Daphnia pulex: one gene and its partners. The protein of the gene in region 4 binds, or shares a complex with, the protein of the main gene of each other region. Links are inferred from orthologs where the notes say so. Each region holds a gene or a part of one and is shown on either strand. Other genes may lie near its edges.

Region 1 (7,880 bases), on a different chromosome or scaffold from region 4:
AACACTGACGGGCAATCCGGCAATCTAGTCTGCACTCGGCAGTCGCCAGCTCATTGAAACCAGAGTTGCAAAGTTTTTCGATTCCATCCTCCAGCTTGTCCAAAAAACCAGGTGGCAACTGGGTGGCAATTGGCAAGTTTGATCACTGATATTGCAGTCCTGCTGTTAATTTCTTTATCATCTTCTGCAACTTTTCCAGAACAACACCATGCCTACCATAAGTATCAATAGAGATTTACTGTTCAAAGCCCTTGGAAGATCTTACAGTGAGTTGAGATCACGTATTTGCTATAAGTTCTTTCAGTTAAACTTCAATTTAACTTAGTTAATATAATGTTATTTCTATATTTAGCGGAAGAACAGTTTGATGAACTTTGTTTCAAATTTGGCATCGAACTTGATGAAGTTGTAAGTACCCCTCCCCCCTAAAAAACCAACAAACAAAACAATATGAATTGTATTTGATATGAAACTTAATGTGTTCTCCCTATGCAAGTTACTCGTATCTATTTTTATTATTTCAGACGAGTGATAAACTCATCATTTTGAAAGAACAAGGAACAGAACGATCAGCTGGTGCATCAGAAGAAATCATTTACAAGATTGATATTCCTGCCAATAGATATGACTTATTGTGTTTAGAAGGTCTTGTGCAAGGTCTTCAAGTATTTTTGGGAGAGTAAGATAAATTCATAAACAAAACAAACTTATCATTAAATCAACAAATACCACTTTTTATTATTTCAATTAGAAAGCAATTTCCAGCTTTTAAAGTTGTTCCACCAGTGACAGTTCCTCAAAGATTAATTATCAAGCCTTCGGTGAGTCGTCATAAGAAATTTGTCATAATTATTATTTCAATTCAATACTATTTTTTATTACAGACTGCATCAATAAGACCACATGCTGTTGCAGCAGTTCTTAGAAACATCCACTTTGACCAAAACACTTTCAGTAGCTTCATAGATCTTCAGGATAAACTACATCAAAACTTGTGCAGGAAACGTAGTCTTGTTGCAATTGGAACTCATGATTTGGATACAGTCCATGGTCCATTTTTCTATGAAGCACTTCCACCTGATTCAATTAAGTTCAAGCCATTGAGCCAGAGTAAAGAGTTTACTGCTTCTCAGTTAATGGACTTGTATTCAGTAATCTATCTATCAATTGTGTCATTTTATGCTTTTAAAAATTAAAGATAATCATTTTTTACTAATTCAGACTGATAGCCATCTTCGCCACTATTTACCAATTATACGCGATAGTTCAGTCTATCCTGTTATCAAGGACAGTAATGGAGTAGTTCTTTCTATGCCACCTATTATCAATGGTGAACATTCAAAAATTACCTTAGATACGAAAAATGTTTTCATTGAATGCACTGCTACAGACCTAACCAAGGTAAATTGCCTTTATGAAAATGCAATTTTTTAAATTGCTTCTTTAATTGTTTAAATGTCTTCTTTTAGGCTAGCATCGTTTTGGACACTTTGGTCTGTATGTTTTCTAGGTACTGCGGGGATCAGTTTACTGTGGAGATATGCGAAGTAGAGACTCCAGAAGGAAAAATCAACAACTATCCGATTTTAAAAAATCGACATGAGAAAATCAGTGTTGACAAGATCAATACAATGGTGGGTATCAACGAAAAAGCTGACGAAATCGCAAATTTACTCACCCGAATGTGTTTAACTGCCACCGTGGAAGGAACTGGTTCCATTTCGGTAAAAAAAATGTAATGGTTAAATTATAGGATTTTGAAAATTCATGTAAAAATATTCCCTGGCAGGTTGAAATACCCCCCACTCGTCATGATATCATTCATGCGTGTGATGTCTATGAAGATGTGGCGATTGCTTTTGGATACAATAACATAACCAAAACTCTACCGAAAACTAACACCATAGCTTCACAGTTTCCCCTAAATAAGCTGTCAGATCAGTTGAGAGACCAGCTTGCTCAAGCCGGTTTCACAGAGGCTCTCACATTTTCGTTGTGCTCGAAGGAAGACATAAGCGAAAAGCTGAGGAAACCTCTGAACTCCGTTCCTGCAGTTCATGTTTCCAATCCGAAAACTTTGGAGTTCCAAGTAGCACGCACGACCTTACTTTCAGGTTTGCTCAAAACTATCGCTGCCAATAGGAAAATGCCTTTGCCCATGAAGGTAAAACCTATTTATTTAATAAGATAAGTTATAAAAGTTGTAAAACATATGGTTTCTGTTCTTCAAGCTATTTGAAGTATCCGATGTGGTAGTGAAAGACAGTCAGCGAGATGTTGGAGCTCGTAATTGCCGCAATCTGTGCGCCGTTTATTACAATAAGTCGCCTGGATTTGAATTAGTTCATGGTTTACTAGATCGCTTAATGCAATTGTTGGAAGTTCCACTGGATCAGAGTGGCAGCAAGGGATACTTCCTGAAACCATGCGAAGGTTCATTTCATATACTGCATCAATATTTTGATTACCTTCTTCTAAAGCTATAAAATTTACAGATGCAACTTTTTTCCCCGGACGATGCGCCCAAATCATTTTTGCTGGCACTGTTGTCGGAATCGTCGGAGTCTTACATCCTGATGTTGTGACATCCTTTGATTTAAATCTTCCATGTTCAGCTTTGGAGTTGAATATTGAACCGTTTTTGTAAGCAGTTACAAGAAATAAATGTGGTCTGTCATTAATGAGAAGCTAGTGTATTATTGAAAAATGTGAAACTAAGCGTTACAATTTAATCAATGAAGAAATCCTAATTAGGTAAACAGGGAAAATGTGCATTTAAACATCATGGAGTACGAATGAAAGTACGGCCGGTGATCGTTTTCTTTTCCACCGTTTTTGGTTCAGGTCGAGCTCGGTTTAATACTTTCAAAAAATCAGAAGTTTTGGCTCTCATGCGTGAATGAATGTAGGCTTTGCTACATTTGATGTGGTAGTGCAAATAGTCACGGAAGAGATGAATCAAATTAATGGTATTTTCGCGGACGTTTTTGTTCGTATGCCGTGGAAACAAGACTAAAAAGAATTATGACATAAATTTTACAGAAATCCATGTGTAAAAATAGAAATGATTTCATACCAAATGTAATGTATCCAATATTGTCACCAATTTTAGCATTTGTACTTTGAAGTTCCAGAGGAGGTTCTCGGTGAGAAAAAAGAACTTGTGGGGCAGTGTGAGAAGCTCGGCGACCTTCGCGAAGTTCTTGTAAGAAAACTTTACCTAACACAATATCATCCTCATCACGGAATACAGTGCTGAACACTACTGTTACTCTGTCTGCCTTAGCTTCTATGTACAATGTCTCTTCATCACGATAATTGATAACTGCTCTCTTGTGCCCTTCTTCACCTTATTAGAAAAGAAAAATTATAGAATTTCAGAGTATTGCTTTTGCTCATTATTTTTTTACCCTTTTCCTGAAATTCAAAATACTTCTCAAAAACAGATGCAAAGCAATTTCTTTTCAGCAGTCCAATTTTTTTTACTATTTCTTCCCAATTGCCAGGTATGTTATCCAAATCCAAAACAAGGGAAATATTGTACCCTTCAAAAAAAAAAAAGGATAAATAAACAAAGAAGATAAATAAAACCTTTTCACCAATAGGATATTACACATACCATCTTCAGCTTGACATAGTAGGTTCCCATATTCTCTTTTTAGTAACTCATCAGCACCATGTTCCTGAAGGTCTTTATAGAATTTCAGTGAAATGCTAACCTATAAAAATAACAATTAATTAATCCTGCAACATTTCATTTATAAGGTTTTCTTTCTAATAACTTACTCGAACTTTGGATTTATCAGAATCAGGGTTGGCAATATGAAAAAGAACCCCATCGAAATCAGCAATGACTACATTTACGGAATCCGGTTTATTTCTATACAAATTAGGAATAATATGTTTCGTAGCAATTCAAAAACAAATGTATATAAATTATTTACCCGGCAAGCGAATTTTTTATTTTAACTGTAAGGGTATCTTCAACAATTTTGTTATTTATTTCCAGAAGAATCATCGCGACGAAATGTGAATGTGATGACTTGTATCACAAAATTAAACAAATTTCAACATAGTCAGCACACAAGGAAATGTTAATGTTATCTGTCACAACTCACAAGACAACCACAAAAGAAAAGGGAGTGGACTTGCCGTTTGCCAGATTTCAACAAAGCAGGTGCGGTACGCAAGCACCAGCATGGTGTCATAGACAAAGACCATGGTTGTTGATATAATGGTTCCCACTGTCTGTGTTATAAGGTCCCATAAGGCAGCTGATTTTTTTGTGATCTTTGGTTACTGCGACAGCCCCGCGACCTGGTGTTGGAAGGGTGGAAGCTTACACTGAAACAACACAGAAATTTTCTAAGTCCCTCGTAAACAAATCAGAGCTATGCGTACTTTGCGCATCCGTTAAACAGATTGATTGACGATTTTCTAATTAAGATTAATTTCAGATGATAACAATAGATTTCATTGGTTCAATTTATAACTTGTAATGTGTATTAACGGCAGTCAGTGGAGCTTAATAACTTCCTTATGCTTTCAAGACTCGGAAGTGGTAAAATTCCATTTGCTTTCAAATGTCTATATGTCTTGCTGCTTTTAAGTCGAATTTGAAGACAATGCATCAAAAATAAAGGGTCGTAACGCATTCCTTTCTTACAGTTATCTTTTCCCGGTTTTGCTTTAGCTTTGTCCATCATAGTTTTCACGATTAACTGTTCCTGATAGAGATTTGAAAAATCTATTAATAAACTGATATATGATATGGTCTTTAGTAAGTATGGAATGTCATTGTCAATCGTCTGGAATATTATTTTTGAATAGTCTTGCGAATAAGTTGGATTTCACAAATGTGAGGGTTGGAATAAGGAATGATATCTCTATCGAAATAATTGGAAAACATTGGTCAAATAGGGAAGCATACATATAGTCTAGTCATGAGGTAATTAAATTAGTATTTCATTGTTACCGTAGGACTCAGGCACTTTAGTTTTTCGTCAAAGTTATTCTTTTTCTGTTCCTTAATCAATTTTTGGTTTGTAATAGTCAAAGTCTGCTTTTCTTTTTCTAAATTTGACACAATTCCAGAGACCAACTAAAATTACAAATAGAAAATATATTAATAGTAATCGTATGTTAATTTATGAATAACAAAAAAATAATTACTTTTCCTTGTTGGAGAATTCTTCTCATTGCTAAATTTCTCTTTTGCTGTTGGTTTTTCTTTTGAATTCCTGTCCTCTCAGCCTTACAACCTAATTGTTTCTTGCGAGTCATCAGATATTTCTTAAGGAATTTGCAATTCAAACAAACATTGTTTTCAGTAAGTCCTGTGCACCGGTTAGATCGTATGATTTTTCCGTCTTTCACAGCGCTACATCGGGACGTCACACAAACATTCGCTAGTGATAGTTCAACAATTCCATCACACACATTGCTTACTTCCACGGCACCAATAATGTTAGATAAATCTTCAATTACATTGAAATTAGTCTTAACATTACGGGGAAATATTTGTTTTCCATTGAGGAACAATTCCACCTTATTCATGGAGACAACTGAGATTGTTTTTATTACAATTTTGCGATCTGGAGAAAATGAATGACTGAAACACACGAGGGTTTTGTTAACCTTATCTTCTTGCCACATCCACGAAGAGGAAGGTAGTTTGACTCTCGCAATAACATCAGTGTATGTAGCTGGGTCAAGGTATCCTTCCATTTCTGTCTCCCGTGCTGTTTGTTCTGAATTTTCTTGTAACATTTCTTCTGTCATTTCACCCGGTGCTCCAATCAGTTCATCCACTTCCATATCATTTGGTTCAAATTCTACTCTCAATTGAGATTCAGATTCAGATTGTAGTTCTTTTTCAGGTGGAATGTGTAGGAGTGTTTCAGTAGTAGGTTCCTGGAACATGTCTTCTGTTGTTACACATGGTAATGCCACAGGTTCAGCTGCTTCCATATCATTTACTTTTCCTTTTTCAGCGTCAAGTTGGTGTATAGCTGTAACATAACATGTCATGTTTTTAAAAAATATCTTATTACACTTAGTTTTTAATTTACCTATGCTATTTGACGTTGACTTCTTTGCATGTGATGGGATCAATACATTGGTGTTGTTATTCGACAAAAATGATTGATTGTCCAACTGCAGCTTAGGATTAGCAGCTTTAGACTTTGCTGTTATATTTCGATATGGTGACTTAAACCTATCACTGTGAACATACTTCTTTGCAGCAGGTCTTTCGAGTACGCTGACATCATTTCCTGTTAGAAACATACAGAATTAGCAGTATTAGTATAACTTAACATTGTCATGGATAATTAAAATTTGAGAATACCTAGCAATTTACTGGGCCGAGCACCTGATTTTAATTTCCATTTCGGATAACTGTAAAACACGCCTTGAATTTCTCTCCCTTTAAGTATGTCGTTCTCTTCAAAATGAATACTGCAAATTCTGGACTGGCAAGTGAGTCCTGGCTTTTTAATAATTTCCTGCCAGGAATTTAGACACAACTTCGGTGGATGGAAAAACGCAAGACTTTCAATTTCTTTGTTATAAGAAGATTTACAATTAAAAACGAAAGGTTAAATCTATTGCCACGACATGATGTCGTGGCGCGACGGTCAAAACTGTCTATTGTCACGACATCTGTCGTGGCAATAAAGAGAAAATTGTCTATTGCCACGACACGCCACGATACGGCTATACTTCCTCTCTGATCTCTCATATCGTGGCAATAACACGAAATTTGTCTATTGCCACGACATATATTTTTTTAAAATTCGACATTCACGCATGTTAGGTTAGGTTAGGTTAGGTTAGGTTAGGTTAGGTTAGGTTAGGTTAGGTTAGGTTAGGTTAGGTTAGGTTAGGTTATGTATGTCAAGTTTTTTACAATAACATTTCAGCAGTGGTAGCCGAATGGTCAGCGATGAATGCCACCATGCGATAGCATGGCGTTCGATTCTCCGTCGAGAGGGTAATTTTTTATTTGGAGATTACAACAAAGGTTGAGTTTCACGGGATAATTGACAAGAAAATTGATGCGGGAATTATGCACATGTAGTTTTACCCTATTTAGTAGTTTTCCTAAACATCTTCTGTGGAACTTAGTACGAAAACGCATGTCGTGGCAATAGACAAAATTCGTGTTATTGTCACGATATGAGAGATCAGAGAGGAAGTATAGGCGTATCGTGGCAATAGACAATTTTCTCTTTATTGCCACGACAGATGTCGTGACAATAGACAGTTTTGACCGTCGCGCCACGACATATGTCGTGACAATAGATCTAACCAAAACGAAACATGGTTTGCGTGTCATTTTACATTAATCTGCATTTCCGCCATTAAAACGTGAATTCTTCGTTTCTGCAGTAAGCCATTCAGTTAGAGATTGTGTGGGCAGATGGCAGCACTTTCGTAGTAACCATGCCCTGAGGAAAGATCATTGACGGAGAACTTTCAATTTTTTTCTTATGGGACCTTATAACACAGACAGTGGGAACCATTATATCTACAACCATGACAAAGACCACTGGTTGATGCTGTCCATAAGAAAATTAACATGGCCAACTGTCGCCAGAATTCTTGCTACCCTTCCTCCGATTTTCCCGATTCTGTTTTGCTTGTCCTGCCCTCTAGTGTACGTTTTGTTCTCTACACTCTGCTTACATCTATTCCATTGCAATCATTCAATTGATTTCTCTGCTTTTGCAATTGGCAAACGTCAAAATTTAATACAAAATGACTTTTAAGTAAAAATTTGGATGAAAAAATTACCTAGAACTTTTAAACGCCAGCAAAGAATTTTACCAAGACAGAAGGAAAACAACTTTCGTCTGCAACACCCTTGCTAGCCACGG
Region 2 (7,448 bases), on a different chromosome or scaffold from region 4:
TAATTTGAAAAAAAACAAATCAGTTTCAAGTGTAACAATGTATGCAATGAATAATTTACTGGCAGAAGCAAAAGACGTCACATCCTCCAAGGCAAACTCGACAGTTAACTGCTTGATCAAGTCAAGTGCTTCAGTTGGAAAGCATAACTATGTTAACTCATGTAAATTTAGTTATCAGTTAGTTATACCGTTATCACGATTCACGAACATACACGATAACACGACACAGCCATACTTGACACTTTCAATGAAGGCATGAATCTTTCCACGGTTCCACCAATAGTTTCCACCATTTCGCTTGTGGAAATTATTATCAATCGATATGAATACGTACATTTTGGAAAAAATCGATACCTTCCGTTACGCCAATTGAAACCGCTAGATGGCGCCACCCGGTTGTATATTATTCAAGTGATTTGTAAAATAAATAGCACTAGTCGAGTGCTATTATTTTAGGGGGTCATTTGGCGTTCCGTAGAGAAGCGCGTCGGTCGGAACCCCTAGCTAATCCTCCGCCTGCGAAAAAGTGGATGTTGGATCAATTCCTACCAAACATGACTGCACAGTGCACACTGACTGCAGACTCCACAATTGAGGAATTTGAAAAGGTGTTGGAATACGCCTTCAAATATAGGTCACTGTCGCTCCTTATCGAAGGCCCGAAGATTTGACTAGGGAGAATGAGCTTGCAAGAGAAAGGCGAAAGAAGCCTCTAAGGACTAAACTTATAAGCATAGACTACTTCAGCATATAAATTTTATTGTTTGGTATTCTTACTTGTTTTTTGTTTGAATTAAATTATTTGTTGTTGTAAGGGATGGCCTGTGAGAGGCGTCCTGTAACCCTATTGTACTTACATATAACCCTGTTGTTTTTATTTCAATCAGAAGAAATCGGGAGGGGATATTGCAGTCCATTGTTTGCTGTTGTCAATTGATTGTTTAAAAAATCAAAATAATAACAGGCGGATCACACGGCAATGAATTGAAAATTCGAAAACAATTCACTCAGATTCAACATTCAATGTTTCAATTCCCATTATTCATATGTTTACAGAATAATTTTAAATGAATAAACATACAGTAATAAATAATTAAATATATCGTGCTCTCCCGTTATTCTTATTCGAAAAAACGGAAAAATCCACCAAAATGCCACTCTACGGGAGTGTGAATCATTATGGACACTAAAAAAAAAAACGATTGTATTGCCTTCAGTGCTGCTCAGTAAAATGCGATTATTATTTTTTTTTTCGCGATTGCGAAAGAAAATTTATTTGATGAAGTAGTTAACTTTAATTGATGGTATGAAATCTAAATTTGTCTAAACGAGTGATAATTTGCAGATTTTGTATCGATCAACGTAGTGGCCAATGAAATGTTGTTATCTGACTTTGCCTAAAGGGGCAATAGGATATCAGCTCTTTCGGGCTTCGGCTGCTACAACTTACAAGCATGCTTGTTTCTATCTGTGAAGCGCTGTAAAGACTGGAAGAACCAGTTCCTCTTTCACTAGTTATTTACAATTACAATCACTAAAAGTCACATCCCTGTTTTTTCACTTTGTTATTTCTTTCTTGTCTAAATAATTGCAAGAGGTTCTAGTACTAGAAAAAAATATAAAATGGGCGAAGTGAATAAAGTCAGCCCAATCAAAAATTTTTTTGCCGGTGGTTTTGGCGGTATTTGTACCATATTTGTTGGCCACCCGTTTGATACTTTAAAGGTATATGATGTGAACGTTCTTCTTCTTGATATTTATTGATTTTAAAAACATTTTGCTTTAGGTTCGACTTCAAACAATGCCTATCATACCTGGACAGGCTCCTCTGTATAGTGGAACATGGGACTGCTTGACAAAAACAATCAAGCATGAAGGATTTCGAGGTCTCTATAAAGGTGAATATATTTTGATATATTGGGGTCTTTTCCAGTGTGTGTAATTATATTAGACAATTTGAACTATCATCTGAAATTCTTATTCATCAAGGTATGGCTGCCCCAATTACTGGAGTTGCACCTATTTTTGCCATAAGTTTTCTAGGCTTTGGAATTGGAAAAAAGCTTCAACAAAGCCATCCCAATGAAAGGCTATCATTACTCCAGCTTTTTAATGCAGGAGCATTTTCTGCAATTGGCACAACAATGTAGGAATACCGAATACTATACTTAACCTTTAACAGCATTGTCTATCAATAATCATTATTTTTTCCAATCTTAAAGCATCATGGCTCCTGGTGAGAGAATTAAATGTCTTCTTCAGGTAGTAGATTTGCAAGTGGTGAAAATTAAGGAAGACTATATCAATTCTCACCCAATGCTTGTAGGTTCAACAAGCCAGTACTGGCCCTGCAAAGTATGCAGGACCAATTGACTGTATTCGGCAGTTATATAAACAAGGAGGTATACGGAGTATCTATCGGGGAACAGGAGCTACACTGCTCAGAGGTAAGGTTGACTCAACTATAGTTCAAGAAGAAAATTTCTGCAACTACAGATGAACTCTCTTTCGATTTGGTAGATGTTCCAGCCAGCGGGATCTATTTTATGACCTATGAATGGCTCCAGGTTGCACTTGCACCAGAAAACTCCGACGGGAAATTAAGCCCAATTCGGACAATGTTTGCCGGTGGAATGGCAGGAATCGCCAACTGGATTATTGCCATCCCACCGGATGTACTGAAGAGTAGACTACAAACAGGTAATATTTTTTAATAGAATCAGATATTAGGCTATTAAATAAATGAGTTAAGTGAAAGGTAATATGATAACTTTATATCTTCGATTATTTTCCCACTTGAAGCTCCCGAAGGAACGTATCCTAATGGAGTGCGTGACGTCTTTAAAGTGTTGATGCGCGAAGAAGGTGTTCGAGCTCTCTATAGAGGAGCAGTTCCAGTGTTTCTTAGGTAATAGGGACATATTTAATTAAATAAGAATTTTTGATAACATTTTTTAACGTCCATTTTTCTTTAAAGAGCCTTCCCTGCAAATGCCGTTTGCTTCTTAGGATTTGAAATGGCTTTGAAGTTTTTGAACTGGTTAGCTCCTTCTATCTAATTGCGGAGCACTGATATTGTTCCAAGTAGATATTATCAAGAAATATGCACACTCCAGTTTGACTAAATACAATATAGTTTTCTGTAATATTTTCATTTATTATTTTTTGAGCTTGTGCATGAACTCAAACTAGGAGTTATCTGATTGTACACAAGTCGGATCATTTTACTGAATTAGCTTGGCTTGGAAACAGGTTTTTATGCAAATAAACTTGGGAATTATCTGGTCTCAATTTTCTTCCAGTTATCCAATAAATTCTCGAATTAAAACTATTAAAAAATGGGAAATGTTAGTCGGTAATAACTGATGAAAAAATTGACAGTAAAACACACCCGCTTTAAAAACTCCTCAGCGCACACACGGGCTCGTGCGTTGACGGCCAATTTCATTTCGCTAATTTCTTTGTCTATCTCTTCCATGAAGTGGATGACAAAATCCACTAATTTATGTTTGTACATGGCTTCAGTATGAAAATTAGTTATCAAGAAACTTATGTCATAACCCTAGAGAAATTATCAATGTATAACAACATATTTTAGAATATTTTAAAAAGAGTTTACCTTAACAACATATTTTAGAATATTTTAAAAAGAGTTTAACAACATATTTTAGAATATGTTAAAAAGAGTTTACCTCAACAGGCTTTCGTCTCAAAACAACAAAATTTTCTGCTCGCATCATCATGAACCTCATAAATTTGTGGCAAAGAATTTTTTCAATTTCATCAGCCTGTTTGATAGAAATGCTAATCCGAACAGAATTAATAGAGGCTTCTATCAAGACTTTTTCTTTCTCATTTCTTGAAATAACAACTGGATTCAGTAATAATTCCTTGCTTGTTCTATGTTTCAAAATAGTATTTATTAATGTTTACTCAATTTTTTCACTCATTTAACCTTACCTGACTTCCACTTCAGGTTTATTGTGTCTTTCAACAACTTGGGAAGAAAAGTTTTCCAAACACATTGCAGCTTCCAGTGTACTTCTAACTGCGGACAAGTAAGGCCTCAAAGTTGCTGACTAAAAATGACAAAATATTAATTATACGTGTACACATAAGACGATAGGAATGATAAAAGGAAGAGGGTGTGGTAAAGTGTTTGAAATGTGTTTTTGTCTGATGAGTTCAAAACATAATATTTTCAAAGTTCTTTTTGGATTAGCTGGGTTTGAATCACAACACAGAAGTTTAAGAGCAAACTAACCATTTTTTGCAATTTGCACAGCTGAAAAGCGTAGAATCTTAAGATAGTTCAAGAATATGTTCCACGGACACTATTTAGGCCCTACTCAATTTAGTGCTTTCTTTGGCTTTTTTCAGTGGGGTGGGCCGGATCTGTCAAAAACCGCAATTTTTTAAGATAACATGGGAACCGACGAAGAATGGAAACAGTTCAATCTGCTGCCAGTAGAGGGCCCGTATTAAATAAAGCAAAAAAATCAATCAATCAATTTCCTTTATTCAAGAAATTTACCGTGAGATCACAGATCACAAATCAAGCCGAATATAAACAAGTTTTAGTCCTTAGGGGTTTCGTAAATATCTTTGATCTAAGACTTGTTGTTAGTTTGTTATATATTACTTGTATAGGTAGAATTGAAGATAAGTCTATAACTAAACTTTTGTTTTGTGTGTTTTTTTAAGGGAGCGTTAGAAATGATATATGCAGATAGATATCCGCTACGTGCAGTCGATGCCGGTATATTTGTTTTATTTTGAGAAATAATAGGTTAACAAACATAGAATCAAAGTAACGATTGCACTAATTTGTTGACGATTGCACTAATTTGTTGCACTGATTTGTTGATGCAGCACATATCACCATATCAACTGTCCTTTTCCATTGGAGATGAAGAAGCCCGACAAATGAAAACCAACGTTTCTATTTGGTATTTATCAGCTGCCTCCAATAGAAGTAAATTAGGGGTAGAGTCGAGTATGCGGCCATTATAAATAAAGAACAAAATTTGTTCGAATATGCTTGGTGTAATGTCGCTGATGTCAACACACCCAGTATTCGCCTCGAGCATGTCGTGGGAAAACATTGCGGCAAAAACTGGGCTCCGGGCGGCCAAAATCCATCGATGGGCATGAAAGATACGCCCAGAGACGAGCAACTGAACATCGGTGGTCATGCCATCCAAAGCGGAACGCCAAAGCTGAGTTGGGCAAAGACTGTCCTGCAATTCGTATCGATATTCCTCATTATCCGCTTGTTCGATCGTCACACAGAACGTGAACTGGTAACATTTGTATCCATTTGCAACGGAGAAATTGCTTGTGAAGACCAGATTTTTATTAAGATCCATGTTGTGTTTCTTCTGTGAACAGGGATCCCATCTGTTGAAGTATGAGACACCAACCACTCGACTGTTTCGACCAGTAAAAAAGTATAGGTCGAACTCGCTACAATTTGTATATGGGATGATACGTACACACTGAATACCAACGCCGAACCACATACCGTCCTTTGATTTATTAGAGAAAGTTGTGCGATTCAAAGTTGGCAACTTTTTCAACGTCCATGAATATTGCATTACGACACCTCCTTTCGTTAATTGTGAGTTCACGTCAGCTTCACATCTAAAAATATATCAATTTATGGTTTATGAAATTTAAATGAATTAAATATAAGAATACTTCGTGACCATTTTTTCCATTGTTCCATTTGCGGTAAATTTAGGAAGCATTTCATCTACGAAGTATTTCTTTGCATACGTTTTCATATCTATGAGATAATAATCACAGTCATCTAGTAGACCAGTGTAGAGAAAATGAAGAAATCTTCGGAAAGTAACAGGATCTTCATCCAAAATAAGTTGTTCAACTGCAGCATCTTTTATTTTTGCCGTCAAAGCAGGGCAGCGAGCGGCCAAAACTGATTTGTGGACTGGAAGCTTATGACCTCTAACCGTTAACACGAGGTCCGTAAATGGCCCATTCATGGATTCAATAATCTGTTTTTTCCATTGTGAATCGGTTAACTGTAAACAAAAAGATGACTCTCCAATTACGTGGACTTCAAAAATGATACAAATATCACGCAATTTAGAAGCTAAGCGATTGAAAGGAATCAACAAACTAAATTGCTGAACCGACGAATATGATTCAACACTCTCCATAAAACCAACAAAGTTCGTCTCTGGTTGATTTACTGAAACTCTTGTAGCACGCAGACCGAAACGATTCAGGTAAATACATTCCAGATAAATCTTAATAAGGCTCGCGGGTCTTTCTGAAGTCTGAAAATGGATCCGACAAGTTGGCTGATTTTTGAAGAATACCGTACTAGACAAAAACGTATTCGAATGTGTCATTGAAATGAGGCATAGTTTGGTATTTAACATCAAACTTGTTGGTTCTTCTCTGATTAATTTCGATAACATACTACCAAAAGTCCTAAATACAAAGATATATTTTAATTCGTGAAAATATGCAATCTAAATTTAAAATGCTCATTTTTAAACGCGTTTTTCTCACCGTTTATTAACAGCACTTTCTACGAACAAAAGCAAGAAAAATTAAAATATAACTTTCTCAGTCTTCAAATTTAATAACAATGTCGTACTAGTTTTGTTGATGTGGATCTTTACACTTCATATCTTCAGAACGAAAATTTTTGTTACGCTTGATGGAAAGTGTACGTTAAAACTACAAGATGCTACAAGGAAAATGGCAAAATGCGTCTGCAGAAATGGAGGGACTTACCGTAGACGTTCCAACAAGCGTAAGAAATTTTTGTTCTGCTATCAGCCAAAGCAGAGTGATGGCTGATGAAAATGCGTCGCACTGAAGGAATAGGGTTGGTGCATGAATAAGGGATTCGTTTGAAAAAAATACCATTAGAATCAGTTTTTCACGCTGATTCTCATGGTATTTTTTTATATTTTTAAAATAATAATATCCCCCCGTAATCTCACTTCAAAGTTGAGATTAGCTCCCCCCATTTTAAAACGGACCCCACGCCATTTTTGGTGAGCGGTCCTTAAAATGGGATGAAGTTTCCCCCTTTTCACCCTTTTCGTCTTTCGCCTTTCGACCCTAAGGGCAAAAGAGGGGGTATAGGCAGCACGAAAAAGGGTGAAAAGGGGGGAAAAAGAGCAAACTTCATCCCATTGGATGGAAAAATGGCGGGGGGTCCGTTTTGAAGTGGGAGGAGCCTAACTGTACTTTGAACACAGATTACGCTCTGAAGAAATTATTTTAAAAATATAAAAAAATACCATGAGAATCAACGTGAAAAACTGATTCTGATGATATTTTTTTTTCAATCAAATCCCTTATTCATGCACCAACCCTATTGTCCATAAGGCTTCGTCCCCGAGCACTCTCCAGTCTCCCTTGTATGCACGGGTGACACCTTGCGGACCAGAAATATGTTTGAACAC
Region 3 (8,216 bases), on a different chromosome or scaffold from region 4:
AATAAATAAATAAAAAGGGAAAAAGGCCCTGAAAAAATAGAAATAAAAACAGAAATAAAACGAGGTTTACTCGAGAGTTTCCTTTCCCTCTGTCTGCTGTGCTTATAAGCAGCCAAGTGTTCCGTGATAATCGATCGCTGTGAGAACTCTGCTGGAATATTGCCGTCGAGACTGAGACCTCGAGCTAAAAGTTCTCACCATGCATAAGGACACATACTAGGCGTTCGCACAGATCTTTACAGTCTTATATCCTTAGACTTTATACACATTTTATATGTTCATCGACTGTATATACCGACATCAATATTTATACAGAAGGACGTTAACAAAAAAAGAGAAAGAAAAACTCTCAAGTGGTAAGGAGGATTTATAGGGGAACCAAAGTGGCTGTGTGCTTAGACGCATTGAAAATTTGAAATGCGCCGCCTATAATATCCAACAGCGCTGGCTTGTTAACTTTTTTCCTCTCTCTCTCTCTTCTTTTTATAACCAGGTTTACACATTACAGACGCACACACTCGTCAAATTTCAAATAGAAGAAGAAAAAGTATTCTTTTATTTATTTGCGGTGGATGAAAATGGCCAATAATCATGTTTCCAAAGTGTTTTCCAATTTTCAGATTATTTATTATTCAGTTGTGATTTCCCCCGCACAATGACGACAGCGCAGTAGACATGCAAATAAGGGGTGATTCATGCGTCAATTTCCCCATCCATTGAACCTTTGCATCATTGAACCCCCGCCAACAGTTTATAACGTCCCCGGGAAATGCAAATACCTTAAATGGTTAATTAAAACACGTAACCGAGAAGGAAAGTATATACAGAAAACCTCTAGCGCATATGCCTCGCTCTTTCTCAATGTTTGTTTGTTGTGGGTGGATGAAATTCTAGTCGCCAGCAGCCAGCGCAGGATGAGATCACGGATCGGAAGGTTCGGCAAAAGGGGAAAAGAAACACATTCGTGGGAGGAAGTTTCCATTCCAGCATAGTAGGTAAAAATAAATGTTTTAAAAAAAAAGTTTGTTTTCATCGGAAATCCTGCCCGGTACAGTATAATGACTGCCGGTCTCCCTATCAACTAAACAGGAAAAACAGGAAATCGACAGTTTATTATTCTCTCATTCGATTTAAAAAAAAAAAAAAGAAACGTTTCTTTTCCGAGCTCATTATGAATGCAAAACTGCTTAACACCAGCAATGGATCGGCATTCGGCAGTTATTTGGTATTTTTCGAATAACAAATTGTCCTTTGGAGGAGGCAGTATAAGGGGGGAAAAGGGAAAGATAACGATCTGGTATCACGTCATCTGGTTTGGAATTCCAACCGTCGAAAAACTCGTCCCTTTAGCCAAAACATTCCACGAAAGACAATTTCACATGTGTAGAAAAACCACCTTCGGCAATCAATGCCATCAGCATACAAAGCTGCCGAGCTTCTATGACGTCAAATCCCAACGACTCACACGCGATGCTCAACATTTTCGTTTCTCGATAAAACTAAAAAAAGATTTTTACATAATAATGGCGGAGGAAGTATGTGTGCATCGATATGTGGTCTATAGAGACATTCACGCAACCGAAATATATATACATATAGCCAAACAGAATGTATTCGGGTAATGTATTATCTAAATCCATGACATGCCAGTGACAAGAATTCAATTTTTTTTTTCTTCTTCATGTAACAATTTCAAATAATGAGAGAGGGGGAGGGAGCGATAGAACTGGAAGAAAAGGGGTGGTGAACGGCGGACTGATTGCGGATGAGCGAACGGAAAGCTGTTTGATTGCGTCTTTGATGCAACAAATAACGACTGTAGTGTGTTATTAAGTGGTTATAGAGTGATCAGGGATAGCAGGGTTTCGTGTATGAACATCAAATACGTTAGGGTCATTCATATCGGACAGGTTACTTTGCATTACGCCCCAATATCACCTTTAAGGGGCTATTGAAGACTACTATTTAGCTCTCAACGACTTGATTGCATTTGCATCGAATTGATTTCTTCATTTGCAACAGCGAACGCTTCCACCCAACCACACACTTGGCCTCGACGACAAATAGACAAGGAATGACTGTCATCCAATTATTCGGTATATGCTGAATCACTTAATAAAATTAAGGATGATAATGAACCCAGTTGATTATTTCGGCAAATAGACACCACGACGGCGCAAAGAAAGAAAAACATCTTTCTTTTCTTTTTTAGTAGAGACGGAAAATGGTAGAAAAGCCAACAAACAACAGGCACTTGAACAAATCCGGTTCTACCAATCAACTCAAGTTGCTCACCCTAAATCACCCATGAACTTAAAATTGGAAAGTATGTAGAAAAAGGAAAAAAAAAAAGGAAAAGTAAGACCAGAAGGAAGAGGAAAACAAACAAGCACCATCATTTCTCTCGAGTAAAAGGGGGGGGGGGGAGACAAGTCAACTTGGGAGAGGGAGGAAACGGGGTAGGCATGGTGTCAGGAAAAACAGCGGACTGGATTCAAAAACAAATGCTAGTAGGAAAAAAAAATTGAGGGTCAAATGAGGAAGGATAAACGGAGAAAAATAAACGGAAAAGAACTTGTTCACTTTCCTCTCTGTGAAAATGATAATTACATTTGATACGGCCCTCCTTACACATTGTTGAATTATTACAGAGGAAACCTCGATCTGATCGATGCCTTATGGCGCTTCCTTTTTGCGCGCTGTACCTTGATTTTTGTTTTTGTTCTACAGGTAATTATGTCATAGTACCAAACACTGGATTGTGCCTACAAATGCTCGGCCCGTACTCCTCATACGCAGCTTTAGTGTGACACACTTGATAAAATTCAGGCTGCAAACCGGGGAGAGAAAGCCAAAAAAAAAAAAAAAAAGATAAGTCAGTTAATTTCCTTTCTTACGTAATTTATCGCTATCACATACCGTTGAAGCAAGTAGACTTCCACCGAACCATACCGCATAGCGTTGCATGTGGTGCGATACCACTTGAACGTCAATAGGTTTCGGCTGTAAACCAAGAACAAAAATATTCAATTACAACTATTACGCCAGTTCCTGGATGTGGGAACCGTCGCGTATCCCGTTCAGCCAACCCATTCGACCACAACTCTTAAATACAAGTGGAAACTCACCGTCAGTTTGCCTCCACTCAGCTGTTCACTGATTTTGAGCCGAGCGTCGCTAACACGCTTGATATCTCGTTGCAACCGCCGACCAAAATCCTTAAACATGGTCGATCCACCCGACAATACGATGTTCTTGTACAATGGCCTCCTCACATCAATAGGGCAGTTTTGAATGACTGTGTCAACAACTTCTGATATAGGGGTCGTGAAATCGGGGTTGGCAAACTGCAATATCAAAATGAATGAAAACATGATTCGGTCTACAATAGCCAATGCAAAATGCAGACGAAAATGAATAAAATCTACCTCTGGGTGAAAGAAAATCTCGGGTCCTAAGAAACGCTCATAGCCAACATCAACGCCAAACGGCTGCTTGGTGATGGAATTGAGGCCTTCGAATTTCTGCATCCATTTATTGGGCTCAGCATCGTACTTGGCAAATTCTTTTGCAATATCAGGACAAATGTAACAGTAGCGCTCTTTAACAGCCTTGGCTGTCTCGAGCGATTGCTCAGGTGGAATGCCAATTTCTCTTTCACGGAGAAGGGATTGAATGAAATAGGTTATGTTGCGACCTGCAATTGGGATGTGCTTTATGCAACTTCCAATAACATATCCTTCAGCCTACAAAAATCAAGACAACAATTAGAAAGCGCCCAAATGAAAAGCAAATTATTTATAATAATATCAGTTACCACTGGGATCACATGGGTAACACCATCACCACTATCAATCACAATACCAGTCAAGGTTCTTTCACCCAACTGCCTTGAGGTCCAAGAGGCAGCCAGAGCAAGGACTGCTTGAACAGCTATGTACAGACCGGGAACGTTGAAAGATTCAAACATGATCTCTGCTGTGTACTCCCTGTTTTCCGGGGTGTTTAAAGGGGGTTCTGTTAGCAAGAAATGGTGGTCTTCTGGTTCTGCTCGCAGATATTTGAATATGCTCTGTTCTAAGAACCGCTCCATAAGGTCCCAATCTTCAACAATCCCATGACGTACAGGATACTGCAATGGTAATTAAACCAAAATGAATGATCTGTTTTCAATAATAACTATTTCCACTTGAAAAATAGCTGAATTGACAAATCTCATAAGTAAGGTGTTTGTTACCAATCATGTAAACAAACTGTCATTTGCATTAAAACTTACTTAAAAATAAGATAATTTAAGTTATGAATGAAAAAAAGTCATACTTTGACTGAATATCCCCCATTTCCTGCTTCGAGGGCTTCGTCACCAATAAAGAAGTCAAGATCTTCGATTCCCTTTCCTAACCTTCTCGAAGCTTGGTCACCAACCTTTGCTGTTTCTTTAATGGCAATGGCTGAAGGTATAATGTATTGAGGCTCTTTATTGCCAGCATAACCAAGCTTGGAATAACTAAAAAAAAACAAAAATTTATTAGAAGTGTTAACAACCTTTCCAGAATAGGCACACTGAGATGAGATTGCAGTCTGTCAGACAGACCAGACCAAAGCATATCCTTACCCTGTTCCGATGTCAATCACACAAGCCGGTAATCTTCCGGTCATTTCACACAATTATTGTTTAAAACCTTTAACACTATTTCTCTGATTTAATCCTTATTGTGATTAGACACAGAAATTGTAAACGAAATTAGCTTAATTCGAAACACCGGCAGCGTCTAGAGCGATGAGTGTTCAATCCCCACCCCTGGCAGTTTCAGACTACGGCCACCAGGTGGCAACAGAACTTCCTCTGACAATCTGATAAGGATTTTTTTTCTTTTTTTTTAATGAGACAAACATGGTAAGGTTATCTTATTTATCATATGCGGAGATAAGGCCATAGTTCAGTTATTCCAATGGTTAATAAACGGTGGACGTTAAAGAAGTAAAACATCCCATAACGATTGGTAAAATTGAATTGCGCCAGATTTTGAAGACATCTAGCGTGATTTGAATGAATCTGATTGAACTTTTGTGAAATCAGAAGGCAACCATATGTGACGTAAAAAGAAGTTTTCGTCATAAAAAAAAGATATTTTAAGGAACAATAAAAAAAATTTATGGTCTTGATGAGAAACAGAAAAAAATTTATCCGGAAATCCGGACCCTATCCTCACGAGTCGAAGATACCAGATACCCCTGCTCTTTCATCTTTGGTCTAGCAATCAAGTTTGAATTTTCAATTTAAAAAAAAAAAGGGTTGTTTCCTTTTCATTTTCTTTCCTACCATCTTTTGCTTCCTGCCCTTGAAACCAATTAGATTTTATTGGATGGGGCTTTCGTGGCAACCAACGGTTCAGTAAACGAGTAACTGGGGATTCTGATTCGGTCTGCAAGTCAAACTCACCATTCTATACACGCGCAAAACTCGCCACAGGCTATTTAAACCGAGACGGTAAATCTACAGGGGAGCATTTCATTTCAGTACGGCCATTGTGTTTGTACAATGAACATTCTCATCTTTTCCTGCATGACACGGCATTCCAACTAAATTTGAGACAGTCATGTTCTATGAGAATATTGACACTAAAAAGAAAAACTTATATCGCTAATATTCTCATTTCTTTATCTTAAAGGAAAATGTTGACTCTGCGTCACACCGCATCCTAATGGCTTTTGAATTTTAGCCCTCACTTTCGTATCTATCGCTCTATCAGCATATTACTCACACACAGCAATTGCTTTTTTGGGGGGTGACATAATCTTGCAAACTGTTAAGTACGTTAAAATTACCAGCCAAAGTGACGACAAATTTCAGCAAGTTGGCATATTTAATCCCATAAGCTATACTGACATTTCCCGATTCTAATGAAGTTGTACAAGAATACTTGAAACTTTCCCTTTGTCCATTCGCCCTACACCGCATATATCTCTCTCAAGTAGTTTCTTTTTAAAAACTCCATGAAGCAAAAGCGGCGGAAGGAACCACACAGCAACGACGTGACGATTTTTCTTTTAAAAGTCAACTTTATACTCGACTGGGATCGAGTTTTAGTTCACTCAGCTTAGCTACACCAAAGAGAGCTAATAACGTTCTCTTCTGCCAACGACAGGAAATAGAAATCCTCATTCAGGGCCCGTCAATATCACGTAATAAATATCGCTGGGCAACGCGCTACAAAAATAGTAGCTTATAAGAACACGGGTATATTGAAAACGGTTTGCTTCCTGTAGGATCAAATGTAACGATCGCCAATTTTTCTTTACAGACTTTTAGCACTTTTATGGACTCGTCGTCGGTGCTCTATTTTTACGTACTACACTGATACCTGTATACTATATAAATCTCTTTATAAATAGAGTTGATTATTGAAAAACATCACAACATTCACTTGCATAACTATATGCGTAGCTTCTTCCATGGCCGGAGGCCCTTTCAGAAAATTCTCAGTAAGTAAATTTCGGGTCTGATTGAATTGCTCGTAATCGAATAGCAAGATCCTATTCCGGTCCGAGCATGAGATAGTCATCACTTGACGTTTGAATATGCAACGTCTAGTCTCATCAATCCGATCAATACTTAGCTGAGACTTTGGCGCGCGTGCTCACGTTAGTCCAAGCCAACGTAACTCCTGGAAGCAGCACACGGAGAAAGAAAAACCAAAAATGGATGATGGAGGGAATCGGGGACGACGAGCCGTGGGGCTAGGGGCCGTGTTGGAAGGGGGGAAAAGCCTCTGCGCGCGCATCATAGTCCCACGACGCTTTCAATAGTAGCACACAGGAAAGGAGACAACCAGAAAGCTGCTTCTTCAGTTTTCATAACAAGCTTCAACCGCTTGAACGTCGCTCGCGTCTGTCTCTTAATCATCAGCGATTCTGTCAGGTATGTTGGGATGATTGACAACTGAATGTTAAACTGTAAAATGCTATAGTCAGTCATATCGTTCTATTTCTAGTTTCAAATAGCTATAACGAGCAGCTTTTCGAAAAAAAGGAGGATAACAAAAATGTGGAGCCCGGTAGTGCATTCGACGAAAAACGAAACGGGTCCCGTACCTCGGACACGCTTCAAACACGCAAGCTGTGTTGATCCCCAGAGACGAGTGGTATATATAAAAGAGACATTTCTTGACCAAGTTTCATCGATTCCCCCGTCAAATCTTTTTTTATTTATTTTCCTTTTTTCTCACTTGTATTTTCGATCAGGTTTATTTACTCGGCGGACGCTCTTCCAATATCCCCCTCAAAGATTTCTGGGTGATGGATCTCGGTAAGAGCATTGTCTCTGCTCAAATAACATTTTCTCTCCCGCGATTACCATAAATTTGAATGTTTTGATGGAATGTCGTCGACAGATACCGGTATATGGACGTCGCTGGGTAGCAAAGGGACGCCTTTGAATGTTCAAGAGCATTCGATGGTCTACTGGAACGACTGCGTCTACGTATTTGGCGGGATATTTGCGCCAGCTGACGAATGCCCACTGTGGACGTACACCATTTCGGTATAGCTCAGTTTATGATTTCAATATAGCATGGGAACACTTTATAAGACTCTTATTTATTTTACCATTTCAGGATAATACTTGGAGCAAATGGCAATCTAAAAAGAACTGTGCTCCGATTTCAAGGAAAGGTCACACGGCGGTTGTCTACGAGGATCGCATGTACGTTTATGGAGGATATCAAGACATGAGAGGATCGCTCGGAGAACTATGGGAATTCTCTTTTAGTAAGGAACAATTTCTTGTTCAACATTTCTTTCCCCTTTCAATATCGACATTGTTTCCAAACTATTTGTATAATAGAGTCTCATTCGTGGAAAATGATCCATGGTGGTAAAGCGAAAAAATCCTCCGATGTTGTTCCACCACCTAGACACAGTCATACTGCGGTTGTGTTTGACCAAGAAATGTGGGTCTATGGAGGAATGACGGATTTGGCGGAGAGATCAGATTTCTGGAGATTAGACCTAGGTATTGCGTATTTATTACAGTTACTTTAGCAGTTCATTTTCACATCAAACTTTATATAACAGTCACCATGCAATGGACTTGCGTCAAATGTAAGCCGTTAGGCCCAGGTCCACTACACGGTCACTCGGCAGTGAGGGTACGCTCTCATATGCTTGTGGTTGGTGGTGAAAAGCAAGGCAACTTATCCGACGAAGTCTGGCGA
Region 4 (7,195 bases):
TATCTCCTCTTACGGGCATCGAAATTCGCCATGCGTCTCTTTTTCGTTCAACTACCCCCCACGGCTTGTGTGCCTGCGTACAATAGCGTGAAAACAAGAGAATCACAACAACTGGATCGGATTGTTACTACGCAGCAAATCGCCGGCATGCTTGTCAACACCCCCCTCCCACAAAGAAAACGACCCAGGAAAATTGTTGGTACACGAGGCAGGAAGATGCCCTCAAGGTCGGGAATGTTATGGTCCATCCATGCTGATTTTATGCAAATTTTAAGACATTGAAAGAGTCACATTCTCTCGAGGCGATATATGGGCAAAATACAAGACCCTTCCAGGTTCGCCCTCGGGTATTAACGGGCAAGATATCAGTTAAAAGCTTTTGCTTATATTTTCAAAACAATTAAAATGTAGGAATTTCGTAATTTGTGTTTATTGTAATTTCCTTGATTTTTTTTCTGTATCATTTACGAAATAAAATAATAAACAATGTAAATTCTTGAGTTAAACTCAGACAGTGGCCCAATTTCTCCATCACAAGGGCTGAGGTAAAAAGGCAACAGTTGAGGTTACAACATCGAGGCAACAGTTCAGGTTACAAGATCGTAGCCATATTTTAGGAAAAAAGTTTGAGGCAAGGCAACAATTCAGGGAAACAGATGGAGGCAACAATTCGAGAAAAAAGATGGAGGCAATTAGCTGCAGTCGATGTTTAAGGACGTCAAGTAATTAAGATCTTCAGACAATCAGTAAAAAAGGATTTGTTTACTGATTGTCTTTAAGCCACTCCCTCAGCTCCCTTTCATCAGGTATATCCGGGTTGATCTAAAGAGAATACACAAGAAAAAAAAATCCCGATGAAAAAAACTGCTTGAGAAATCTTATTGAGTTTAAACTTACCATGATTACCGAATCATCGAAGGAGTCTAGGAATATTTCTCCACTATCGCGTGCGAATGCAGAAACCTTAACACCTCCAAATGCAACAATGGCGTTATCCAGGCTACTGAGCTGAAATAGCTTTAGCTTTGTGACTGAGTGCAGTACCCACGGCTGAAAAGTTCTTGTCCCTGCGAAAATAAATAACTTTTAAAACTGTCGGAAGCAAAATTTGTCTGATTCAAAATTTCACCTCAAATCAGCGTAAAGCTCTTCGGCCGAGTTTAGAACAACAGATTTAACAGAGCTACCATCAGAGCGAGGTGACTGGCCCGCATGTGATGAGGCTTGAAAATTTTCTCCTGGAAACTTGACTGTATCTAAATAACAATGAAACCACAAAATGCAAGTAAAATAATTGTTTTACTCAGAAGCTAACAATACTTTCTTACTATGTTTTATTCCATAGAATTCGTCGATAAGACCCTCATAGGTCAACTGAGTGACAAAAGGAGTTATCAAATCTACAGTCCAATCAATGATCATGAGAGTGTCGAACAACGGAGACATGGGGGGATCACAGTCTACCCCAATATCACGTCGCATTCGAGTCATCAATTCGAATAAGTTACGGGCATGGCGCCCCTTACCCACAACGTTGGGGAAAATGCCATATAAACTTTGGAGGGACATTAACCCATGAGCCATTTGGTGTAAGGAGCTGATTTCATTGTCAACATATAAATCCTGAGAATAAATTTGAAGAAGTTGATGACAAGCAATCCCTTTCAAAGTTTGGCTCATAAATAAATACCTTGAAAACATTATCGAGTTCCATTGAAATGACATCACTATCTAGTGGGAAAAAATCAACAGGCAGTTCATCAATAGAAGTAAGAGTTCCATACACTCCTTTGTCCTAAATGAAGTAATAATTATGTCAACAATTTCTTCTTCGCTGATTTAAGTAACTTTAACCAACCTTGAGCCGCTGTTCACATACTGCACTTTGTCGGGAGACAAAAATTAACTGATATTCCTTACTAGCAGAATGTCCTTGGCTTTCTTCGCTGAAATGTAAATCAACTTATTGTTGACTATTTAAAGTTAAAATATGTAGATTATTCATACCTGTGCAAGTTATCGGCAATAAAATCTATCAGCTCAACTTCAGGTCTTGTGATGAACAGTATATTTTTAACAGATATGGAAGGCAAGCGCCCAGGTTTTAACTGGAACATTTTTACAACATCTAGTTCCTTAAGAAAACTGTATTCTGCCACCAAACCAATGGGGCCAGTGAGTTGTTCATCCCAAAATATTGCCTAGCAAAATTGATGAATTTACGTACATTTCTTAAATGGAATAGCACACATCAAAATACCTTTGTTCCACTGAACTTCTCTAAAAGAGAAACAATATCCTGTAACAATAACAAAACTGTTGACGAAATTTATTTTTACTGAACAAGACATCAACAGACTGTCAACAGACAACCTAATGGATTTTGTGGTTGTCCTAAGTCACAAAAAGCTAATGACTAAATCCGCATAAAAATTAATAAAATTTAGTATTACCAAATGAATCGAAACTTACCTAAGCGCTGAGATAAATTACTGTAAGTGTACACAAAAAGTTTGAAGAAAATCGATGCAGTAGTTTAGTTTTCTATAAATTTATTCTGATTCTGAATTAAAGGTTCTGGAAGCCTGGCCCAGAACAGCGTACCTCCCCCACACCCCCCCCCCCTCCACACACACACACCCGCATTTACTTTAATGCCTTCTGGTAGTACAAGTACTACCCTCAGGGATAACCGTACCAACAAAACAGGGATGACGTGTAAACATCAAATGTGCAAGTGATGAAGAGAATCTATTTTTAGTTTGTTCGACGATGGCAACAACAACACACAAAAAAATGGGCGCCTCTGAGCTAACCAGGACGACAGCCTGGCTAGAGTTGCAACAAATGAAAACGAGTGAGTCGTTGGTCGATAATAATACAGTGGCAAGACTCTATCTGAATAACCACAACCACAGACGGGCGTGTGATACGTGACTAGCAAGCCAAATCAATGCATTCAAGATAAAAAAACAGCTGCAAAAAAACTTACCTTTTTTGTGTAGCTCAATTCACGACCGAATGGCTGCATAACAATCGATAGACATTACAACATGATCGATACGTAATCGTATCGGCCTTTCGTCGGCCGATATCTAAGTCACTATAGTATCTTTGAGGAAGGGGCTGGGTTTCCTTTTCCACCACAACAATTTCTTGTTTTCAATATTGAGCAATATCAGCCGGCTCAGTGTTTTTTTTTCTTTTTGAGCTGTCAATTCGCACATATTTTTTTCCACAGAAATGCCGGTAAGTTTGTTTATCAGATGTCGTATTTTTCGGATTTTTGAAAAGTGCAGAATACGTTGGTTTGTGTTGTGCCTGACAATTGTGTTGTTTCTGATTTCAACAGGCTTATCATTCCCAGTTTTTGAACCCACCCCAAGTCGTTGGGAATATGGCCATTTTGCCGTTGAAAACCCAGTTCCGAGGGCCAGCTCCCAAAGAAATGGGGGAGTCAGATGTCCTGGATGAGGCATTGTACTACTTCAAGGCAAATGTCTTCTTCCGCACATATGAAGTCAAAAGCGAAGCAGACAGACTCCTGATCTACCTTACACTCTACATCACAGAGTGCCTAAAGAAGCTCCAAAAGTGTTCAAACAAGAATACAGCTCAGAACGAGATGTATACCTTGGCAATATCAAAGTTTGACATTCCTGGGGAACCTGGTTTCCCGCTCAACTCTGTATATGCTAAACCTACCAGCCAGCATGAAGCAGGTAGAGTAGCAGTTGTAAAAACATGCTTTTTCTCATCTGATAACATTTCTGTTGCTTTTTAAATAGATTTGTTGAGGCAGTATCTGACGCAAGCCAGGCAAGAGATGGGTTTAAGACTGGTAGATAAAGTTTTCTGCACAGAAGATGGAAAGCCTTCCAAATTTTGGCTCTGCTTTGCTAAAAAGAAGTTCATGGACAAGTCATTATCAGCTCCTGGGATGTAAGAAGTCATTGCGTTTATCCTTACGTTTATCTTTCCGTTAATTACGTGCAACATGGGTTGATCAAATAAATCTAATTTGTTCAAGTTTTATTTTTAGCATTAATATTATTGCCTGTACCAATAAGAAAAAAACACAACAACGTCTGGAACTATATGGCTGTATTGGCCCATCAAATAATAAAAAAATACAGTATTTGCGAAGAAAATGAGAATGCATCGCTTTGAATAGCTGGGTTTGGTCTTCGCACTATATGAATAAAGGGACCATATTCGGCATGTATCGAATGGCCGAGAAGAACAGTTTTTTATTAGATTCATAGTTCAGTGTTTGCAGCTGGACGTTTCGGCTGGAATGATTGGAGAATGTTGACTCGTCTCTCCATTTCGTCTTTCTTTTCTTTTGCCAATTTTCCTTTGCGCAGTGTGTCCACTCGAGATAATTCCGATTGAAGGAAATCGTTGCCTTTCTCCAGCATTTTGCGCATAACCTTGACGTATACTTCAGCTGATTTCCGTTCGCTGCCAAGTGAAACCTTGTCCCATTCATCCTCCGATTGGCGTAAGATTTCCTTCCGGTCGGAAGGGCTTGAAGCAGCTACAAACCGGTTTGCTAGTCCGTCAAATACTTCCAAACATCCCGGTAAGCCGATCCACAAACCACTCGTGGAACTTACGAATCGTTGCATCATATCGAGTTTGAATTCTCCCTGCACAGAAATCAGATCCATGTCATTGATGTACTTGCTTTAACAATTTTTTATTGGGTACCTGGTATCGGATTGGCTCAGCCTTTCCTTCTGTGAACAACAACATCACAGGGTACTCTTCTTTGACAATCTTGTATCGTTCAGCTATGTCTACATTTTCTTTATCTCCATAATCTTTTACTCCTACTTCTGCAACTAGGATGTCCGGATTGGAAGACAGGGTGGAAGACAATTTCCCGAATTGTTCATGTTTTTCACCGTAAGGATATGCAACATCAATCTTCACAATGGCAGCTTTGAATTTAGATACAACCTGGGTAATCAAAGCAATTTCAATAATAATATGTTAAATAATGCTTAATTTGTTGGCTGATTTAACATGTTGAATAACAATATCAAAGAAAAACCTGTTTAAAATTTAAAATCAATTTACACAAAGGCATTAAAATATAAAAGGTAAGCTTATAAATATTAACATGCCTTCTCAAAAGAGTAAGAGTCCAGTTGAACACAGCCTTGACAGTTATTAGATGATGCACTGGTAAAGGACAGACAGCTGATCAACAAAAATAGATAAAAAGGACTAGGAGACATAATGCACTTGATTGGAAGGAACGCTGGTAATAATACTGAATAATCAGTAATGCACTCTCGTCTGATATAACTGTACTGATACCGTGATAACTGATAAAACCGTATAACTCAAACGACTTAACAAAAGTCAATATTCTGGATTTTTCTTTTACACGTTTTCCAATTCGAAGATGACAGCTCACAATGTTGCCACGTTGGTGCACACGTCAACATAAAATGTTTACGTTGATTTGAACGCCACGACAGAACAGATTCGGCGGGAATTTAACGCTCAATTTATAGTAATTTATAGCCTTATAGGTAGGAAGGGAGGAATCATTTAAAAGTAATTTTATCTATAGATGATTACGTAATTTCACTTTTCAAATCTGAGCAGACAACTAATTCTAGAATAGGCTCCTAGTGTCACCTTATACCAATCCTATTACGAAGTTAAGAAGAAGAAACCTACAACAGGCATTAGCCAATCGTTACGTGGCGCTAAATTGATAGACGACTAATTAAGTAGTAAGCGTTGGATGGTTCCAATAAAATTGTTGTTGCGGATGTTGATAGTCTGCTCCATTCGTAACAAAATAAGCCACTTAAAGTTCATGATGCTGGAAAGATTGCGATGCCGAAAGATTAGCCTGTGCCAATTAATGACGACAGTTAAGTATGGCTAGACTAGAAGACAGCTTGTCTGAGTCAGATAGCGCTTAATAATTTAAACTCGAGAGAATATAACGTGATATGCATCCTCACATTTCTTGGTGCCCATCATCATGCGTCGGTAAACTAAGCTACTCTGTTATTTACATGGTCTAAAAAGTAGAAAATTGATCGTTCCAACCGTCTGGAATTGGAGTTTTTTGTGTGAGCTCTGGCTGTCACGAACGTAGAAAGCAAATAAGAATGACATCTAAATAACGTTTATGAGTTCAAAAGTTTAGATGGTAAAGTTAATCACAAACACAAGTCGTGTTTTAAGTAAATAACGACACGCGCGATTGCACTTGATAAAAGACCGTCCTTCTGTTCATTCTGTTCATATTACAGAACCGATCTGGCAAGGGACGAATGACCATCGTAATATATCTGGCTATCAGGGCTCAGATTCAATAACGAAGCGTGAGGTTGAGCAATCGATGAAGACCTCCTTGTTCCCGTTCCAGACGGCCCAGTTACCTGAATGCCAGGATTTAATTTCTTCATTCTCGATTCGTATCTAGATTGTTTTTCAAGGAGCTGGATTAAAAAAAAAATGCAAAAGAAAAACTTTTTTAAATTATTACCTGGTAAACAGACAGCATGTAGTCAGGGCTGCGATGAGTGCCATGGCACCAATCAGACAACCAATAACAAGCAACCAAATTTCGAGGTTGTTTATCTCGTACAAAGTTCCGCGGGGTACACAGCGCTTTAAATGAATAAGAGATTAATTTTATGATCTATTCAAACTAAACGAAAATTCAGTAAACAGACAAGTACCTCTAGATTAGCGACTGAAAATTTGTCGTAGACGCTACGAAGCCGTTGATTACGCTCCGCGTTAAGAAGTAATTCGGTATCTTTCAAGTCAAAAACATGGTCTTTGCCGACCAATTGAAAGCAGGAACTGTGCAGGCACAAATTATATTAGATAAAGAACTTTGCACACACAAAAAAAAATTTATCATGTACCTAGTACTGGAGAAGTCCAAGGCTCCGTCGCGGGAATAAAATTGAGATTCGTATAAATTTAATGTAAGTGGCAATTCGAGGCTTTGTTCAACTGATTGTCGGAAATCAGCCAAGATAGGTTTCACATCCGGAGGAGGTTTGGTAAAAACAAATTTCATCAGCTCAGAATCTCGTAAAATGTACACCTTTAAATAAAATCGGGAGAAATTAGTCATGTCAACTTTTGACTTTTGGTAATGGTAACAAGTCAACAACCTTCAACGTATTAAATGCTTTACGGTCCGAAC

Evidence for each region.
Region 1: actin-related protein 2/3 complex subunit 3-like (region 4) and probable actin-related protein 2/3 complex subunit 2 share a complex: the UniProt entries of both Caenorhabditis elegans proteins name them as parts of the arp2/3 complex. The link is inferred for Daphnia pulex from reciprocal best matches to the Caenorhabditis elegans genes arx-5 and arx-4.
Region 2: actin-related protein 2/3 complex subunit 3-like (region 4) and actin-related protein 2/3 complex subunit 4 share a complex: the UniProt entries of both Caenorhabditis elegans proteins name them as parts of the arp2/3 complex. The link is inferred for Daphnia pulex from reciprocal best matches to the Caenorhabditis elegans genes arx-5 and arx-6.
Region 3: actin-related protein 2/3 complex subunit 3-like (region 4) and actin-related protein 3 share a complex: the UniProt entries of both Caenorhabditis elegans proteins name them as parts of the arp2/3 complex. The link is inferred for Daphnia pulex from reciprocal best matches to the Caenorhabditis elegans genes arx-5 and arx-1.

The regions. Positions count from the first base shown.
Region 1 is NC_060024.1:1,046,061-1,053,940, forward strand, and holds probable actin-related protein 2/3 complex subunit 2, read right to left. Parts: upstream 4,166-7,880; 5' UTR 4,019-4,165; coding exon 3,945-4,018; intron 3,881-3,944; coding exon 3,787-3,880; intron 3,720-3,786; coding exon 3,620-3,719; intron 3,546-3,619; coding exon 3,411-3,545; intron 3,350-3,410; coding exon 3,077-3,349; intron 3,013-3,076; coding exon 2,783-3,012; 3' UTR 2,648-2,782; downstream 1-2,647. Other genes in the region: phenylalanine--tRNA ligase beta subunit-like, read left to right, coding at 209-266, 353-408, 525-679, 752-821, 885-1,151, 1,222-1,401, 1,470-1,724, 1,790-2,164 and 2 more; uncharacterized protein LOC124201224, read right to left, coding at 4,506-4,727, 4,976-5,101, 5,173-5,970. UniProt on the Caenorhabditis elegans protein: Functions as actin-binding component of the Arp2/3 complex which is involved in regulation of actin polymerization and together with an activating nucleation-promoting factor (NPF) mediates the formation of branched actin networks.
Region 2 is NC_060028.1:5,630,165-5,637,612, reverse strand, and holds actin-related protein 2/3 complex subunit 4, read right to left. Parts: upstream 4,440-7,448; 5' UTR 4,268-4,439; coding exon 4,265-4,267; intron 4,080-4,264; coding exon 3,961-4,079; intron 3,901-3,960; coding exon 3,693-3,900; intron 3,563-3,692; coding exon 3,392-3,562; intron 3,329-3,391; coding exon 3,323-3,328; 3' UTR 3,137-3,322; downstream 1-3,136. Other genes in the region: mitochondrial carnitine/acylcarnitine carrier protein-like, read left to right, coding at 1,624-1,725, 1,787-1,898, 1,990-2,146, 2,223-2,262, 2,327-2,447, 2,521-2,700, 2,803-2,908, 2,978-3,059; uncharacterized protein LOC124209792, read right to left, coding at 4,887-5,643, 5,701-6,446. UniProt on the Caenorhabditis elegans protein: Functions as actin-binding component of the Arp2/3 complex which is involved in regulation of actin polymerization and together with an activating nucleation-promoting factor (NPF) mediates the formation of branched actin networks.
Region 3 is NC_060017.1:5,488,799-5,497,014, forward strand, and holds actin-related protein 3, read right to left. Parts: upstream 4,823-8,216; 5' UTR 4,660-4,822; coding exon 4,616-4,659; intron 4,508-4,615; coding exon 4,321-4,507; intron 4,133-4,320; coding exon 3,818-4,132; intron 3,747-3,817; coding exon 3,429-3,746; intron 3,348-3,428; coding exon 3,129-3,347; intron 3,004-3,128; coding exon 2,920-3,003; intron 2,831-2,919; coding exon 2,735-2,830; 3' UTR 1,610-2,734; downstream 1-1,609. Other genes in the region: RING finger protein B-like, read left to right, coding at 7,047-7,145, 7,246-7,309, 7,395-7,543, 7,617-7,770, 7,847-8,014, 8,077-8,216. UniProt on the Caenorhabditis elegans protein: Functions as ATP-binding component of the Arp2/3 complex which is involved in regulation of actin polymerization and together with an activating nucleation-promoting factor (NPF) mediates the formation of branched actin networks.
Region 4 is NC_060026.1:13,597,987-13,605,181, reverse strand, and holds actin-related protein 2/3 complex subunit 3-like, read left to right. Parts: upstream 1-2,978; 5' UTR 2,979-3,243; coding exon 3,244-3,249; intron 3,250-3,352; coding exon 3,353-3,722; intron 3,723-3,788; coding exon 3,789-3,946; 3' UTR 3,947-4,035; downstream 4,036-7,195. Other genes in the region: vacuolar protein sorting-associated protein 33A-like, read right to left, coding at 1,001-1,067, 1,130-1,256, 1,329-1,623, 1,691-1,795, 1,859-1,946, 2,008-2,117; endoplasmic reticulum resident protein 29-like, read right to left, coding at 4,260-4,652, 4,714-4,965, 5,133-5,246; cadherin-87A-like, read right to left, coding at 6,279-6,453, 6,521-6,645, 6,717-6,843, 6,909-7,093, 7,164-7,195. UniProt on the Caenorhabditis elegans protein: Functions as a component of the Arp2/3 complex which is involved in regulation of actin polymerization and together with an activating nucleation-promoting factor (NPF) mediates the formation of branched actin networks.